Canis lupus familiaris: one gene and its partner. The main gene of each other region encodes a partner of the protein of the gene in region 2 in a complex. Links are inferred from orthologs where the notes say so. Each region holds a gene or a part of one and is shown on either strand. Other genes may lie near its edges.

Region 1 (7,729 bases), on a different chromosome or scaffold from region 2:
AACCAACCGAAAGACAAACCTATTTCAATGGCCACATTGGAAGACAATGGACATAAGTTCTTTAGATACATTAATCCTAATGTAAAAAGTTCAGGACAACCTGAAATCTTACATTTCATTTTTTCTTCCAAAGTTCCTCGAAGAAATACTGATAATCCATAAATCCACTCTGATACGTTTACATAACCATCGTTGTCCTCATCAAAACCTCGGAATACTAAGAAAGAAGCACAACATAATACTTGTGCTGAATTTTTGTTCTCAGTAATATATTTACACTGGTTCTATTCACTTTTAAAATTTGGACAAAACTCCAGGATAAGATGGTCCACCATTCTCTTTTGACAAAGGAGGAAAACTAAGACATTATAACATTGGAAAGCTCTTTTATTTAAACTCTCACACTTTCTCTTCATATTTTGTAGAAACAAAGTAAGTTCTGAGTAATCAATGATTACTAATATGTGGATATATTGTATATTAAATGTGTTGAGGGATCCCTGGTGGCGCAGCGGTTTGGCGCCTGCCTTTGGCCCAGGGCGTGATCCTGGAGACCCGGGATCGAATCCCACATCGGGCTCCTGGTGCATGGAGCCTGCTTCTCCCTCTGCCTGTGTCTCTGCCTCTCCCTCTCTCTCTCTGTAACTATCATAAATAAATAAAAATTAAAAAAAAAAAAGAAAAAAAATAAATGTGTTGATATGTTGACATAAAATATGTAATTTTATATTTTTCTTACTCAAGAAAATTAATGCTATTACATGATAAAGTTATAACTTAAATTTACTGAAATATTTTTGATGACATAAGGAAATCTATATGTCCTTTTAAAACCATTGTTTTCATTATTATATTTACGAAGTAGAAATAGAAATATTTTAGGTTTTTGGGTATAAAGTAAGGAAAATCTAATTATTCAAGCTGGACTTTGTCCTCTTCCTGAATACACAGAATAGAGTGGGTAGAGTCACCTTCACTATGACGCTTCCCTAACATACAAATTGATTTTTTATATTCAAGTGAAATTGGGAATTAAGAACATTAAGCTTCCTATCAAGAATATGTCTAAACTCCAAGATTTTTTTTCCCAGTTATGGCTGGATCTGGCCTATTTGAATATTGTATGTCTTCTTACCTCTGTCCATAATCATATCGTCTGTCATTCCAAATGTCATGTGCAGGATGTTTCGAAATGCATTGCGATCTAGTCCAATGGTGATACCTTGCCGCTCTGTTACTTCTCCCATCAAATTATAAAAAAGATCTATAAGACATTTCACTTCAAATTTATTAACTGTGAAGAAATAAGATATAACAAAAATGCATTTTAAACCTTTATTTCTAACTTAAATTTTGCATTATTGAGTTTATAGACAACATCAAGGACATCAAATATTAGTTTTCAACAGAAGACTATCCTGTTTTAAGATTCGTGACCCTTAAATTAATAAAATTAACTAAATTAATAAAGGATGGCCACTACAGAGGTTTCTCTTCTAAAATATTCTCTTTCTCTAGAGCATTTCCTCCAAAGAGGAGTTGAATATTAAATTCAGTCACATTTAGGAAGAAAAGAATAATAGCCAAGTTACCTGAATAACGATTATGAGGTCAGATGCTAAACTTTAAAGGCAGTAGAGGTGCAATCCAAAGTAAGCAAGGTAACGCTTAAGAATGGTAACTTTGCTTATAGGCGTTTATGATATTTACAACTACGCTTTTGCCTGGAGATAGATACCAGACTCCTGAACACTAGGCAACAATTTTAACTTCACATCAGCCTTAGTTAAATCAGTAAGCCAGATTTTGGACATCAGAAACCTATTTTCCAATAAAGAAGCATTTAACCATATTCCAGCACCCATTATGGTTCTTATTGCACCTGATGTGAATATTAACATGTAGGTATTTAGTATTTTGGAGGAAGGGAATTTTTATTGAAAATAAATATACGGACATATATTCTGGCCCATACACATAAATGCACAGAGTGTTTATAAACGCTGAGTTAAAAAAAAACAAAAACAAAAACAAAACAAAACAAAAAAACCGCTGAGTTAATTATTTGTGCTCCAATTCCCATTTGAGGTACATAGGTGGAAGTGTTATTGCCTGCCATAAAAGTGAGTTTAAATATGAAGTATAGGTGGACGATGAGAAATGTTTTATTTCAAAAGTACTTTAAAGCACAATGATGAAATCTGTGTGTATATAAAGGATGACAGCAGATAGGAATGGAGAAATCATACCTCGATCTACAAGTCAAGACAGGCTTGAGTGTGATTTCTGGTTTGGGATACCACAATTTAGAAGGAATATTGAAAAATTTGGGGAAATAAATGATTTAGTAAAAAAAAGTGGTTAAATAGTAGAAAACAATATAATGGTTATGATTTTAAAAAGAGCTGTTAGTTGATGTAGAAAATGACATGTCAGTTCTTAAAAAAAATTACACATAGAAGTACTGTGTAACCCAGTGATTCCACTTCTGGGTATATACTTAAAAGGATTGAAAGTAGGGACTCAGTTGTATATCAATGTTCATAGCAATATTATTCACAATAGCCTTAAAGCTGAAAGTAAGCTAAGTGTCCATCAGGAGATGAGTGGATAAGTAAAATGTAGTATATGCATGCAATTCAGCCTTGAAAAGGAAGGGGATTTTGACGCATGTTACAAGACAGATGAGGCCTGAAACATTCTGCTAAGTGAAATAAGTCAGATATAAAAGGACAAATATTGTATGATATCACTTATATAATGTATCAAGCATGGTACAATTCACAGATACCGAAAGTAGAATGGTGGTTGCCAGGGACTGGGGACAGGAGAAGTGAAGAGTTATAGTTTAATGGGCATAATTTCAGCTGGGAAAGATGAAATAGTTCTGGAGATGGATGTTGGTAATGGCTGCACAACAATGTGAATGTATTTAATGCCACAGAGCTGTACACTTAAAATGGTAAATTTTTGTTATATATATATATATATATATATATATATATATATATATATATTTAACCACACACACACACACACACACACCTCCAAAAATAAAAGAGCTTGCTAGTAATTGGAGAAGAAAAGCCTGTATTTAAAATGATGCTCATGTATATGAAATTTTAGCAGAGAGGTTGTTTATTAGCCATATTTCCATCTTGGCTAAAATGAAAATTAAAGAATATTATCTTCATTTATTACCCAAAGGATCCAAGATTAGCCACAAGAAAGTTTTACTTGCTGAAATGTTTTTTAAATTCCAGAATAAAATACTAAATGAAATTAAGAGAAATTCAAGAATGGATTTTCATCTTTTTGGATTGGTCTAAGTGTGTTCTGCAGATCATTTCTGTAGAATGGTGGGCAATCACTTAAGGTATTTTTTTTCTCTGATTCTACAGAATTTATCCATTTCATCCTAGTGGGATTACAACTGGCAACTAAAAGGAAATTTGACTTTAGGGGAAAAGTTCTCCATTAAAAAAATTTTAATTAAAAAAAATTTTTAATTATAATGCCCATGACTTGTAACTATTTCTATAGAATTTAACTGGTAATCATCAAGGTTTTTAAGGCCCACTTTAAGAATTTTACGTAAGGACAAAAATCAAAGACTTGACTATTTTTTACTGCCAGGTTTTCACTTATCTTTTAATACATTCACCTTTTGATTGCTCACAGAATGACTGTTTGCAATTCATGGTGTACTTACTGAACCGGTACTAAATCAAACTGTGTATATCAGTTATTGCACTGCTTATTCAAAATGTTCTCTAGATGTTTAAGATTTGATCTTTTCCTTGAAATGGATTTGGAGAAAAACAACAACAGAACAAGACCACATTATAATAACCATAATAATACCTTAATATATAGGATGACTTTCTTCTAAGAAGTTTGAGGCATTTATACACACCATAATTTTATTTACAGTGCCACTTCACCAAGGGGGCGCGTCCCACCACTCATTACATTCGATACTAAATACGCCTAGAAGGCACCAGATCCTATAAGCTCTAGAACTACGTTACACCTGTTCCTCCTTTGCACAGTGGAGGTAGTCCTGGAATTATGGCTTCTCCTAATTTCTCAAGTGGCCATTAGTTTGTAATCAGCAACACAATTTATAAGCTTGCTTGTCAGACAGTATCTTTCTCATTTTAAACCGTATCTGGGTTTCCTTGAGCAAGTACAGTTCTGTTTTTCAGTCTGGGTACAATTGTAAAGTCACCTATGAAATTCTAGGACTACGTCTTGGAATGTGTGATTGGAGCAGATATCTTTAATATGTGCTCATTTTGTCACCTACGAAGTCTCCTTTACCTCACAACCCCACCGGCAACTGAGCGGATTCTTGACTGCGTTTTGGCTTTGTGGAACTCTTTGGTCTCGAGACACATTCCCTTGCTCTGAGATGTGCCACTTCAACTCATCTTTCCTGAGGATGTTCAGCTACTGACAACCAATTTTCCCTTATGCACCTCCTGGTAAGTTTTCAAAACTTGGACCCTGCCGGTTTATTGGCACAACAAAGAGCTAAAAGGCAGGGACACGTTGGCGGTGCCAGTTTCCTTGGGGCCGGCGGGGTTCAGTACTATCCGCGGCTACAACCACACCTGCTGTGACAGTGCGTCAATGACGTTTCTATAATGGAAAAGGTGCTTGGAAATAGAAATGGAAAGGTCTACAAGGGGAAGGTAAGATAAGGAGAGGGTTTGAGAAGCGACCCGGAGCCTTGTGGGAGCATACGGGTGCCAGGCGCCTGCAGTACGGTCCTTAGGGCCACGGGCAAGCAGGGCTGCGCCGCCCTACGAGCCAGGAGCCTCTGCTCGTCCAGCACTCGATTCCTTACTTACAGTTCTTGCAATTTTTGGTCAAGGTGTCCGTCAGCTTCTGCAGCTTCTTGCGGTTCATGCCGGCTGGGCGCGGGCGGCGGCGGCGGCGGGGGCCCAGGGGCGCGCGGCCGAGCGGACCCTCGCCGGTCGGGACCCCACGCACGCGGGCGCGGTACCATGGCAACGCTGCGCCGGCCGCCCATTGGCTGGCGCGGGACGCCGCGGACACACGCACACGCACGCACGGCGTGGCCATGGCAACGGCGGTGCGGCCGCGGGTGGCTGCTGCCTGGCTCGCCGCCCCGCCCCGCGCGAGGGGCCTCCCCGGGTTCGCAGCCCCCGTGACGGGCCGCCCTGTGACGCAGGGCCTAGGAGCAGGGGGGACACGCGGATGGAGCGTCGCACCAAGCGAGCCTGGAAACCGCCTGGGAGGGCCGGGGCAGCTGGAGGAGCGTCGAGAGTCCGCAGGCGGTGACCCCCCAGCAGGGCTTGGCGGGGTGTGGGGCTGAGGAGCTGGCCCTAAAGCCGAACCACTCCTGGGTGTCCGCTTCTGCTCTGCTGCCTGGACGTAGCCTGGACCGAGACGCCCTTAGGATTTTGGTGGTGGTGTGGGAGCCAAAGGGACTTGGAATAGTTCTTCCCCCTCCCTCCTTCCTTCTTAGAGGTGGAAGTGAGGCGGTCGGTGGAATCCGGGGAAGGCCATGGGCAATGCTAAGCCAGTCAAACGGCGAAGTCCCCAAGAGCCATGTTGACAACTGCCACTTCTGTGTGGGGTTGCTTTTCGAAAACCTTCATTTTCTGAAAAATATCCTAGTAAATCTGGACCTTTACTTATTTGAAAGATGAGTCTGTGTCCTTTAATGTGGGAGGACTTTGTGCTCTTCTTAACCACAGATGGGACCCTCTTTGAATTAAGACAGCACTAAAATGGGATAGCTCAGCCGGTAGCACGAATCCTACAGTATTCTCCAGTGTGTCTACTTGTTTTATTTCAGATGGGAAAATGCTTTTGAAAACAAATTATTTCAGGGGTGCCTGGGTGGCTCAGTCGGTTAAGGGCTGACTCTTGGCTTTCGCTCAGGTCATGATCTCATGGTCCTGGGATCAAGCACTACAAAGGGTCCAGCTCAGCAGGGAGTCTGCTTGTTCTTCTCCCTCTGCCCATCCCCTCGACTAGTTTTCTGCCTTTCTCTCTCACAAATAAATAAGACGACAAATTATTTCATAGTATATGCAGTGTCATCGTTAGACTGAAAGAAAAATTCTGCCTTCCATGAGTAACAGTCCAGAATGAAATAGTTCCAGTATCGAGGTCTCTGAGTTTGTCTCCTTGTGCCATTTGTTTGTCAAATGAAGGTTTGGGCTGCTGTTGGAAACCTGAGTCAAGGATGCTCCGTGAAGGCAGGGACTGTGTTATCCTAAAGCAAATTCTCTGAGAACAGTTAACCAATAGGAAATGATAATGATTTTGAGTTTGCAACCATTCTCTGGTTACATAATACTCCTATAGGTCCTCTTGTCTAGCAGCTGTGACACTTCCAATCAGATTGTAGAGAAAAAAAAAATGGAAAGGACCAAACATTCTAATTACACTCACCTGTGAAACCCTAGTGACTTTTGTTCAATGACAGTATTGTACAGTAAATATTTCATTTATAGAGATTACTACAGTACTCATTTTAAAAGGCAAGGACCCAGAAGAGTGGCTGTCAGTAGTAAATAAGAGAAGCCATGGGCCCCACCTGTCTTTGTGCTGGCAGGTCTGTTAAAAACCATGCATTAGGTGTTCTGATCAGATTCTGTGCTGGCATGTCTTAGAGAGCAGGTCTCCACCAGTGGGAAGCACACGGATGGGCATGTCCAGGTGTTTTCACAGACATCATACCCTGAAAGCTTGTTGGTGAGCATCTATGGCTGGGCTAATCAGCTCTTCACAAGCTTCAGGCTTGGGACCCAGCAGCCATCTTCCCTTAAAGTAGAAAAAAGGATGTAAGGAAAATACCACAGAAGACTGAGATTGAAAGCGTCAAATCTTTTCTGCCAGGCAAAAATCCTTTAATCTGCTAAGAACATTTTGTGGTACTCTTTTCCCGTTTCTCCCCTTCCTCAAGTTCTTTCTTCTTTTAGTGAAAAATTTCCAAATGCGTTGTTATGTGAAACTTACTTCTCTAAGAGAGTGGACAAAGTCACTCATCATACTGGAAAACTTCAGTGCGTTCATTACATTCTTGTGAAGTTTTGAACTTAATATTTTTAGACTTCAGAAACAAGCTATAGGCCTGATAGTGTTAGTTAATCTCATTTCAAAGCAAATTGAAATTCCTATTTGTAGTTTTCAGTTGCTTGTGTTGAGTAGACACAGGATCACTTCCTCCCTCATGGGCTTTTTCAGAGTAAGTAATTAAGCCTGAACAGTTACCTCATATCAAATCAATCAATAGTAGGATAATAAAAAACCCTATTTAATCTGTACTGTATGCAAATTTTACTCTGCATGATACAATCACAGAACTTTCCAAAATTCCACTTTGTAACGGATGTTTTTATAAATATAAAAGTACAGTAAAGTGACTATCAATGCTATAAATGTTTCCTTTAATTTTTCATGCAAAACTGTCTTCCCTTTGACTCACAATTAATTGGAGTTTTGCCATGATAAATAGCTTGAGTCTTGAATTGATTAAAGTCTTTTACTTCATGAGGACCTTTTATGATAAAGGTGTTTGGAAGCAGTTTAGGAAATGACATCATAGAATTGATTTTCAAGTCAATTACAAACCTTTAGTGTAAAGGTTAGTTATCTACATAACAAATTCAATTTTACCAATTTTATTGTGTAGAGAGAATGATGAGAAATTTGGAGGTGATTTTAGCCAACTGTTTGGGGGGTTGAA
Region 2 (7,051 bases):
TCACACTCCCTTCATTAGGTGTGCTATGTAAGACTGGCCCTTAGTAGACTGAAGAGAGGTGCTCTCTGGCTGGCCTTGAAGATGCAAGCTGCCATGCCCTGGACAGGCCATCTGGCAGGAGACCACATGGTGAGTCCCAGATGAGACCACAGCCCTGCAACTCTGTGAGACCCTGCAAAGAGGATTTAGCTGAACTGACCCATGGAAACTTCGAGATCATAGATGGGTGTTTTAAGCCACTAAGTTTGGGGTGATGTGTTATGCAGAAATAGAAAAACAAATACAGTGGTTAATTTCAAGCTACCAACAATTGAACTTATATAATTCCTGAAAATGGAACAATCAGCTAGCTTTTAAGAGCTGTCCCAGGGTCCAGTCTTGTACTGCTAACAGTTCTACTTTAAATAAATCAGTGCTTTTGTCCTAGCAACCTAGAGGCCATTTTGGGGGAAAAAACACAAATAGAAAAAAACAACAACTGGATTTCATTTTCCAAAACCACAATTACTTACCTGGGGGATATTTGTGCCATTGGAGCTTGGAGTCAGATTGGACTCATCACTCTTAGTCATGCTGATTTCTGTGCAGTACTTGCTTTTCTTTCTTTCTTTTTCTTTTTCTTTCTTTCTTTCTTTCTTTCTTTCTTTCTTTCTTTCTTTCTTTCTTTCTTTCTTTCTTTCTTTCTTCTTCTTTCTTTCTTTCTTCCTTTTTAATTGAAATTTTTACTGGGATAATTGTAGATTCACATGCAATTGGAAGAAATAATCAAAGAAATTCCTTGTACTCTTTGGCCAGTTTCCTCCACTGGTAACATTTTTGGATATTTGGCTCTTTATCATAGCAACAGCTAAAAATGCAGTTTCACAAAGATGTGACTCATCAAAAGGAACACAGCGCTGTCTTGTGTTGAACCTGTGAACTGTCTTGAACGTGTAGCTCATGGGATGTCTGACCCATGTCCTGTGTGTCTCCCTCAAGACTTAAAATATCCCCATGGTGTTCCCTTTGAGTTCACTGTGATGCTCTGGGGTGCCTGGGTGCGTGTGTTGGTTTTCTAGGGGATGCTGTAACAAAGTACCACAAACTTTGGGTGGCTTAAATGAAGGAATTTATTATCCCACTGTTTTGGAGGCTAGGAGTCCAACATGGAAGCAACCGTTGGCAGGGAGGCATTTTCCCTATGTGTGTGTCTGTGTTCAAATTTTCCATTTGCATAAGGACACTGGTCTTATTGGATCAGGGCTCACCCTAATGACCTCATCTTAACTTGATTATCTCCGTAAAGACCCTGTCTCCAAATAAGGCCACATTCTGAAGTCGATTAATGCTTAAACATATAAATTTGCAGGAGGCAGGGGGCGGGGACACTATCCAACCCATAATGGCACACAAATTGAGAAATGCAGTCTTTTAAAAAATTTTTTAAATTTATTTTATTTTAAAATATTTTATTTATTTATTCATGAGAGACACACAGAGAGAGGCAGAAACATAGGCAGAGGGAGAAGCAGGCTCCCTACGGAGAGCCTGATACAGGACTTGATCCCAGGATCCTGGGATCATGACCTGAGCTAAAGGCAGAGCCAATTACAGAGCCACCTAGGCACCCCCTCTGCTTTTTCAAAGTTGGCTCCACACCCAGCGTAGAGCCCAACATGGGGCTCAAACTCAGGACCCTGAGATCAAGACTTGAGCTGAGATCAAGAGTTGGATGCTTAACAAAGTGAGCCACCCAGGCGCCCCTGGGAAACATAGTCTTAAGCAATTCATGTATTCATTTGATCTGCATGTTTTATTGAGAACTTACTCTGTGCTAGGCACACAAAGACAAAAATCTGCCCTTGTGGAGCTTCCAGTTTAATTGGAGAGTCAGCATTCCCCAAATAAGTAAAGATGAATACAGAAATGAAGACAGGTTGGAAGTGGTTTCATGCATAACCAGACCTATGGCTTCTAATGGTGTCAGAGCTCATTCTCACCGTCGCTCAGTCTCTTGTCTCCACTTTGTCTACTGACCTGCCCCTCCCAGGACCCTCCGTGTGATGCGGATTATGACAGCTCAAGTCCTAGAGTCCCATCTATCCAGCTCATGTGTTTCCCCCAAAATACTGGGAAGGGATTTAGACTGGCTCAGCTTGGGTCAACATGTCTATCTCTAGGACAATGACTGTGATTGTCGGGGCCTGGGTCACGTGCTGGCAGCGTGGCTTGTTGTGTTTGGAAGCCAGAACCCCGTGGAAGGCTAAGCGTTGTTAGCAGAAGAAGGGTAGAACAGATGGCTGCTACACTCAGCCACTCACCCTCTCTTGGTGCCTCAGTCTCTCACACACTCAGCCAACAAATAGGTATCATCCTCTTTCCTCCAGATCCAGGAGTGGGAGACCCGGATCTCTGTTCCTAGTAAGGATGTCAGGGCTTCCGGACTCATCCTGGATCAGAAGGTCAAGATTCAGCGAAGGATCAAAATCCTAGAAGACCAGTTGGACAGGGTGAGGGGTCAGCTTCTTGACTCTTTCCAGACCTGATCTCTGGGGGTTGGAGGGGAAACTGAGCATGGGGTCAAGTTCCAGAAATGATGGGCCAGAGTCCTGGAGGGAGGCAGGCCTGAAACACTGGGCTCCCAGAGAAGGATCAGGAGACACAACCCTGGAGGGATTGGAGGGTCAACCCAAGGAAAGGAGACTGATGCTTGGGTTCTTAGGGCAGTTGGACAATGCTCTAAGGATCCCCAGATTGGGAACAGGTTCCACATGTGACAAGTGCCCTCTCCTTGGCTGAGCATGGATGAGGGAGATAGGTCGAGTCTCAGACAGACTTTTGTACCTGTCCCCCCACCCCGCCCCCCAGGTCACCTGTCGCTTTGACATCCAGCTGGTACGGAATGCGGCCCTGCGGGAGGAGCTGGATCTCCTGCGCATCGAGAGGAGCCGCTATCTGAATGTGGATCGCAAGCTGCAGAAGGTCAGTGGCCCTGAACCCTGGGACCCCTTGGCCCAGCCCAGGTAGAGGAAGGAGGAGGCAAGAGTTACCCCACCACCAACAACACTCTGACCTCAAATATGGAATCGGCCAGAGTCATAGGTTTACTTTGGTCCAGAGGGAATGGAGGCCACGAAAATGTTCCAGGTTGCCTCTAACAAAGAAAGCAGCCTCGTTTAGACTTGCAGAAGCCAGAGATGTCACTTTGAATATCATCAGCCAGGGCAGTCAGTGGATGAGCAAGCAAGACAGTTGACATTCTGTGGGTATCTCCAGAACCTTTACTGTCTCTTGAGGACCCTTCCCTTTCTCCTCCACTTTCCCTGCCCTGAACGAATAGTACAAGGAACTCTGTCCTTCACCCAGACTGATAATCTGCCATATTTATATACACACACACTCTAATTAGTATTTTTTACTGAAAATAATTTATTATTATGATTGCTGAACTATTTGAGAGCGCACTGCAGACATTATGCCCCTAAGAACTTCAGGGTGTATGTCCTAAGAATAAGACCATTTTATTCTTATTCTTTTTTAAAAAAAGATTTTATTTATTTATTTGTTTGAGAGAGAGAGAGAGAGAGAGAGAGCGCGCACGCACAAGCAGGAGGAGGAGCAGAGGGAGAGGGAGAAGCAGATACCTTGCTAAGCAGGGAGCCTGATGTGGAACTCCATCCCAGGACCCCAGAATCATGACCTGAGCCGAAGGCACTCAACCACTGAGCCACCCAGACGCCCCAATGTTATTACAATTCTGAATAGTCCCTGTTTACGGTTCTCTGATGGTCCTTTATAACTAATTTGATTTTCCTGTTCCGGGCTCCAAGCCAGGGTTCCACACTGCTTTTGCTTGTCCAGGCTCCGTTTATCTGGAACCATCCCTTGGCCCTTCTTTGTCTTCATGACTTTGATATTTTGGAAGCCCGTCGTGTTGTACGAAGTCCCTCAATATGGTTTGTCTGATTGATCTTCGCGATGAGATTCGTGTTGCACATTTTGGGAGGAGTATCACAGAAGGGATGTTGTATGCTTGGTGCACATTATGTAGGAGGCACATGATGGTAGTTGGTCCCATAACTAGTGATGTTGACTTTGGTCCCTTGGTCAGCCATGTTTCTGTAGGGCAATTTTCCCTTTGTGATGAATAAGTGGAGAGTCTCGAAGACCATGTAAATATCTTGTTCCCCAACACCTTTTTACTCGGTTGTTTTGGTGTCCATTAATGATCTTGCCCAAATGATTGTCACTAGCTGCCAAATGGTGATTTTTTTTTCTACCTCTATCATTTCTCCTATACTTGTAAGGGAGCATTTTAAGGAAGAGCTTTTCATTCTCCCCTGTGCATGTGTGTGTTATCAGTAAGCATTTGGATTTTTATTTCACTCTGCGGTGGTCATCATTCATGATGATGTTCAACTTGTCCCAGATTTGGCTAGTGGGAGCACTTCAAGCTGCCTTCTGTGTGCTTTTGATGTGCCCCATGGTTGTTGGTTATTTTTTTTTTAAGATTTATTTATTTATTTGAGAGAGAGAAAGAGAGAGGGCACATGCACACATGAGCAGGGGGATGAGGCAGGGGAAGAGAATATCCACGCAGACTCTCACTGAGCATGGAGCTGGATGTAGGGCTCAGTCCCACGATCCATGAGAGCAGGACCTGAGCTGAATCCAAGAATCAGACACTTAACTAACTGAGCCACCCAGACACCCCTTGTGGGTTCTTTTTGAACATTTCCTTACTTTCTGGCACAGGAAGATAGTCCAAGTTCTTCTGCTCTTGTTCTGCCCCTACCTAGGAATTAGCCCTTTCTCCAAGGAGTCCTGGTTCCCTCTGATAGGAAGGAGGTTTTGAGAAATGAAGACACAGGTACTGCTAGCATCCTCTTTGCTACCAGGGCATCATTGCTTTGAGGCCCTCTCTCTGGAGACAATTAAGGAACACACACATATATTATGAAACCATGATTTCACATTGATTCCCCCTAATTCCAATCCAGCCTTACTGGGTAGGTTATTCCTGAACATTCCCCATTTTCATCTTTTCACTGCTCTTGTCTCCCACAGTAGGAAGACTGGCTCTCAATAGCATTGGTATACTTACTCATTTGCTCAGTCCTACAGTGTACACGAAAGAGGTCTATAGTTGTTACCACTGTACTTCCACCTCCTGAATTTAAGAAGCAGAATTCAAGATATGAAGTGTGTTTTGCCCTCTGAGGGTATGGAGATCTAGCTATCCATCCAAAATTATTGTATTCACAAGGCACTTGAATTAATTCCTTTTTTCTTTTTTTTGTCTGTGTGTGCTCTTGTCTTTTTGTTGCAAGTACAGTTAGGTTCATTTGCTTCTATTTTTTTTTTAATTTTTAAAAAATTTTTTAAAATTTATTTATGATAGTCACAGAGAGAAAGAGAGAGAGGCAGAGACACAGGCAGAGGGAGAAGCAGGCTCCATGCACCGGGAGCCCGATGTGGGACTCGATCCCGGGTCTCCAGGATCGCGCCCTGGGCCAAAGGCAGGCGCCAAACCGCTGCGCCACCCAGGGATCCCTGCTTCTATTTTTAAAAAGATTTTATTTTATTTTTTTTGCACGTGTGTGTGTGTGTGTGAGAGAGAGGGGGGGGGCACAAGTGGGGTGGAGCAGGGAAGAAGGAGAAGCAATTGGGGAACCCGACATGGGACTCAGTCCCAAGACCCTGGGATCATGACCTGAGCTGAAGGCAGGTGCTTAACTGACTGAGCCACCCAGGCGCCCCTGAATATTTAACCCTTTAAGAGGGGTTTCCAAATGAAAACTACTCCAGAAGGTATCTCAGAGAAACACTATTTCCTCTCCATCTCTTCTACTTCATTCTGTGTGTGTGTGCACATGCGTTTATATACATATGTATATGAATGACTACATGTGTATACATTATATATGTGTATATTTGTATATTGTATACATAATATATATATACACACATGCATGTGCACACACATACACACTATATATACTTTCCTCCCTTCTTTCTCCCAAAAGAACCCTTTTTACCCATCTACTGCAAAGACATTTCTTTGGAACTGGAAAACAGATCCGTGTGGTCACCATTATGAAATCCACAAAAATTTCTGCACCAGTCCACAAAGTTAGGTCGATGCTCTTAGGAATGTTCTTGGATGAGGGTTTTACTGGGAGAGGCCTTCTTTTTTTTTTTTTTTTTTTTAATTTTTATTTATTTATGATAGTCACAGAGAGAGAAAGAGAGAGAGGCAGAGACACAGGCAGAGGGAGAAACAGGCTCCATGCACTGGGAGCCCGATGTGGGATTCGATCCCGGGTCTTCAGGATCGCGCCCTGGGCCAAAGGCAGGCGCCAAACTGCTGCGCCACCCAGGGATCCCTGGGAGAGGCCTTCTGAGGCGGCATTCCAGCTCATCAGTTTGGGTTTCCTGTACCTGGTACCTATAAGATCCCTTTCTCTGGTGACTGCTCATTGGGAAGGTCCACATATTTGGAAGGAGCAGGAGTCCCCGTTCTTCAGGGGGCCACGGGGCCTTAAACGAATGCCCTACAGTGGGGAGGCTGTAGGAAGAACCTTGGTTTTGTTCTCTTGCAGGAAATCAAGCTTCTGCGACACATGGTCAGCTCCCTCATGGTCTCCTCTGCAGCTGCCTACACTGTCAGGTAGGGCGCCACCAAGGCCTTCCGGGGATGCACTGTGCTCACACCGTACCGTACATACCTTGCAGGAGGGTTCAGGACTCCAGAAATATACTGTTAAGACTTTTTTTTTTTTTTTTTAAACAAAGTACACCTCTCTGTCCTCCATGGATATTCCAGTTCCTTGGGCAAGGTCCCATTCATTGGTTATATGGATAACCTCTTTGGCTCCAGTCTATTCATGGAACTTAACACTCAGAGTGTGTGGAGAATGTATCAAGATGGTACATGTGGTGCCATCTTGGTGTCAGGAGCCAGGGGCTGGGGAAGCATCAGGCCCTGAGAGTAGATTGTTACTTATCAGTATTGGCTGAAAGAGACAGAGATCATCTCAGGCCACCTTCAGACGGAGTTATGTAGTGTGGA

The links. Proteins that work in one complex are often made in the same cells at the same time.
Region 1: ODAD1 (region 2) and EFCAB1 share a complex: the UniProt entries of both Homo sapiens proteins name them as parts of the outer dynein arm-docking complex. The link is inferred for Canis lupus familiaris from reciprocal best matches to the Homo sapiens genes ODAD1 and CLXN.

What each region holds. Positions count from the first base shown.
Region 1 is NC_049250.1:1,221,108-1,228,836, forward strand, and holds the start of EFCAB1 (EF-hand calcium-binding domain-containing protein 1), read right to left. Parts: upstream 4,984-7,729; 5' UTR 4,915-4,983; coding exon 4,857-4,914; intron 4,698-4,856; exon of another isoform or gene 4,562-4,697; intron 4,488-4,561; exon of another isoform or gene 4,069-4,487; intron 1,295-4,068; coding exon 1,136-1,294; intron 218-1,135; coding exon 113-217; intron 1-112. UniProt on the Homo sapiens protein: Component of the outer dynein arm-docking complex (ODA-DC) that mediates outer dynein arms (ODA) binding onto the doublet microtubule. Seems to regulate the assembly of both ODAs and their axonemal docking complex onto ciliary microtubules.
Region 2 is NC_049222.1:108,596,889-108,603,939, forward strand, and holds part of ODAD1 (coiled-coil domain-containing protein 114), read left to right. Parts: intron 1-2,366; coding exon 2,367-2,489; intron 2,490-2,847; coding exon 2,848-2,961; intron 2,962-6,581; coding exon 6,582-6,649; intron 6,650-7,051. UniProt on the Homo sapiens protein: Component of the outer dynein arm-docking complex (ODA-DC) that mediates outer dynein arms (ODA) binding onto the doublet microtubule. Involved in mediating assembly of both ODAs and their axonemal docking complex onto ciliary microtubules.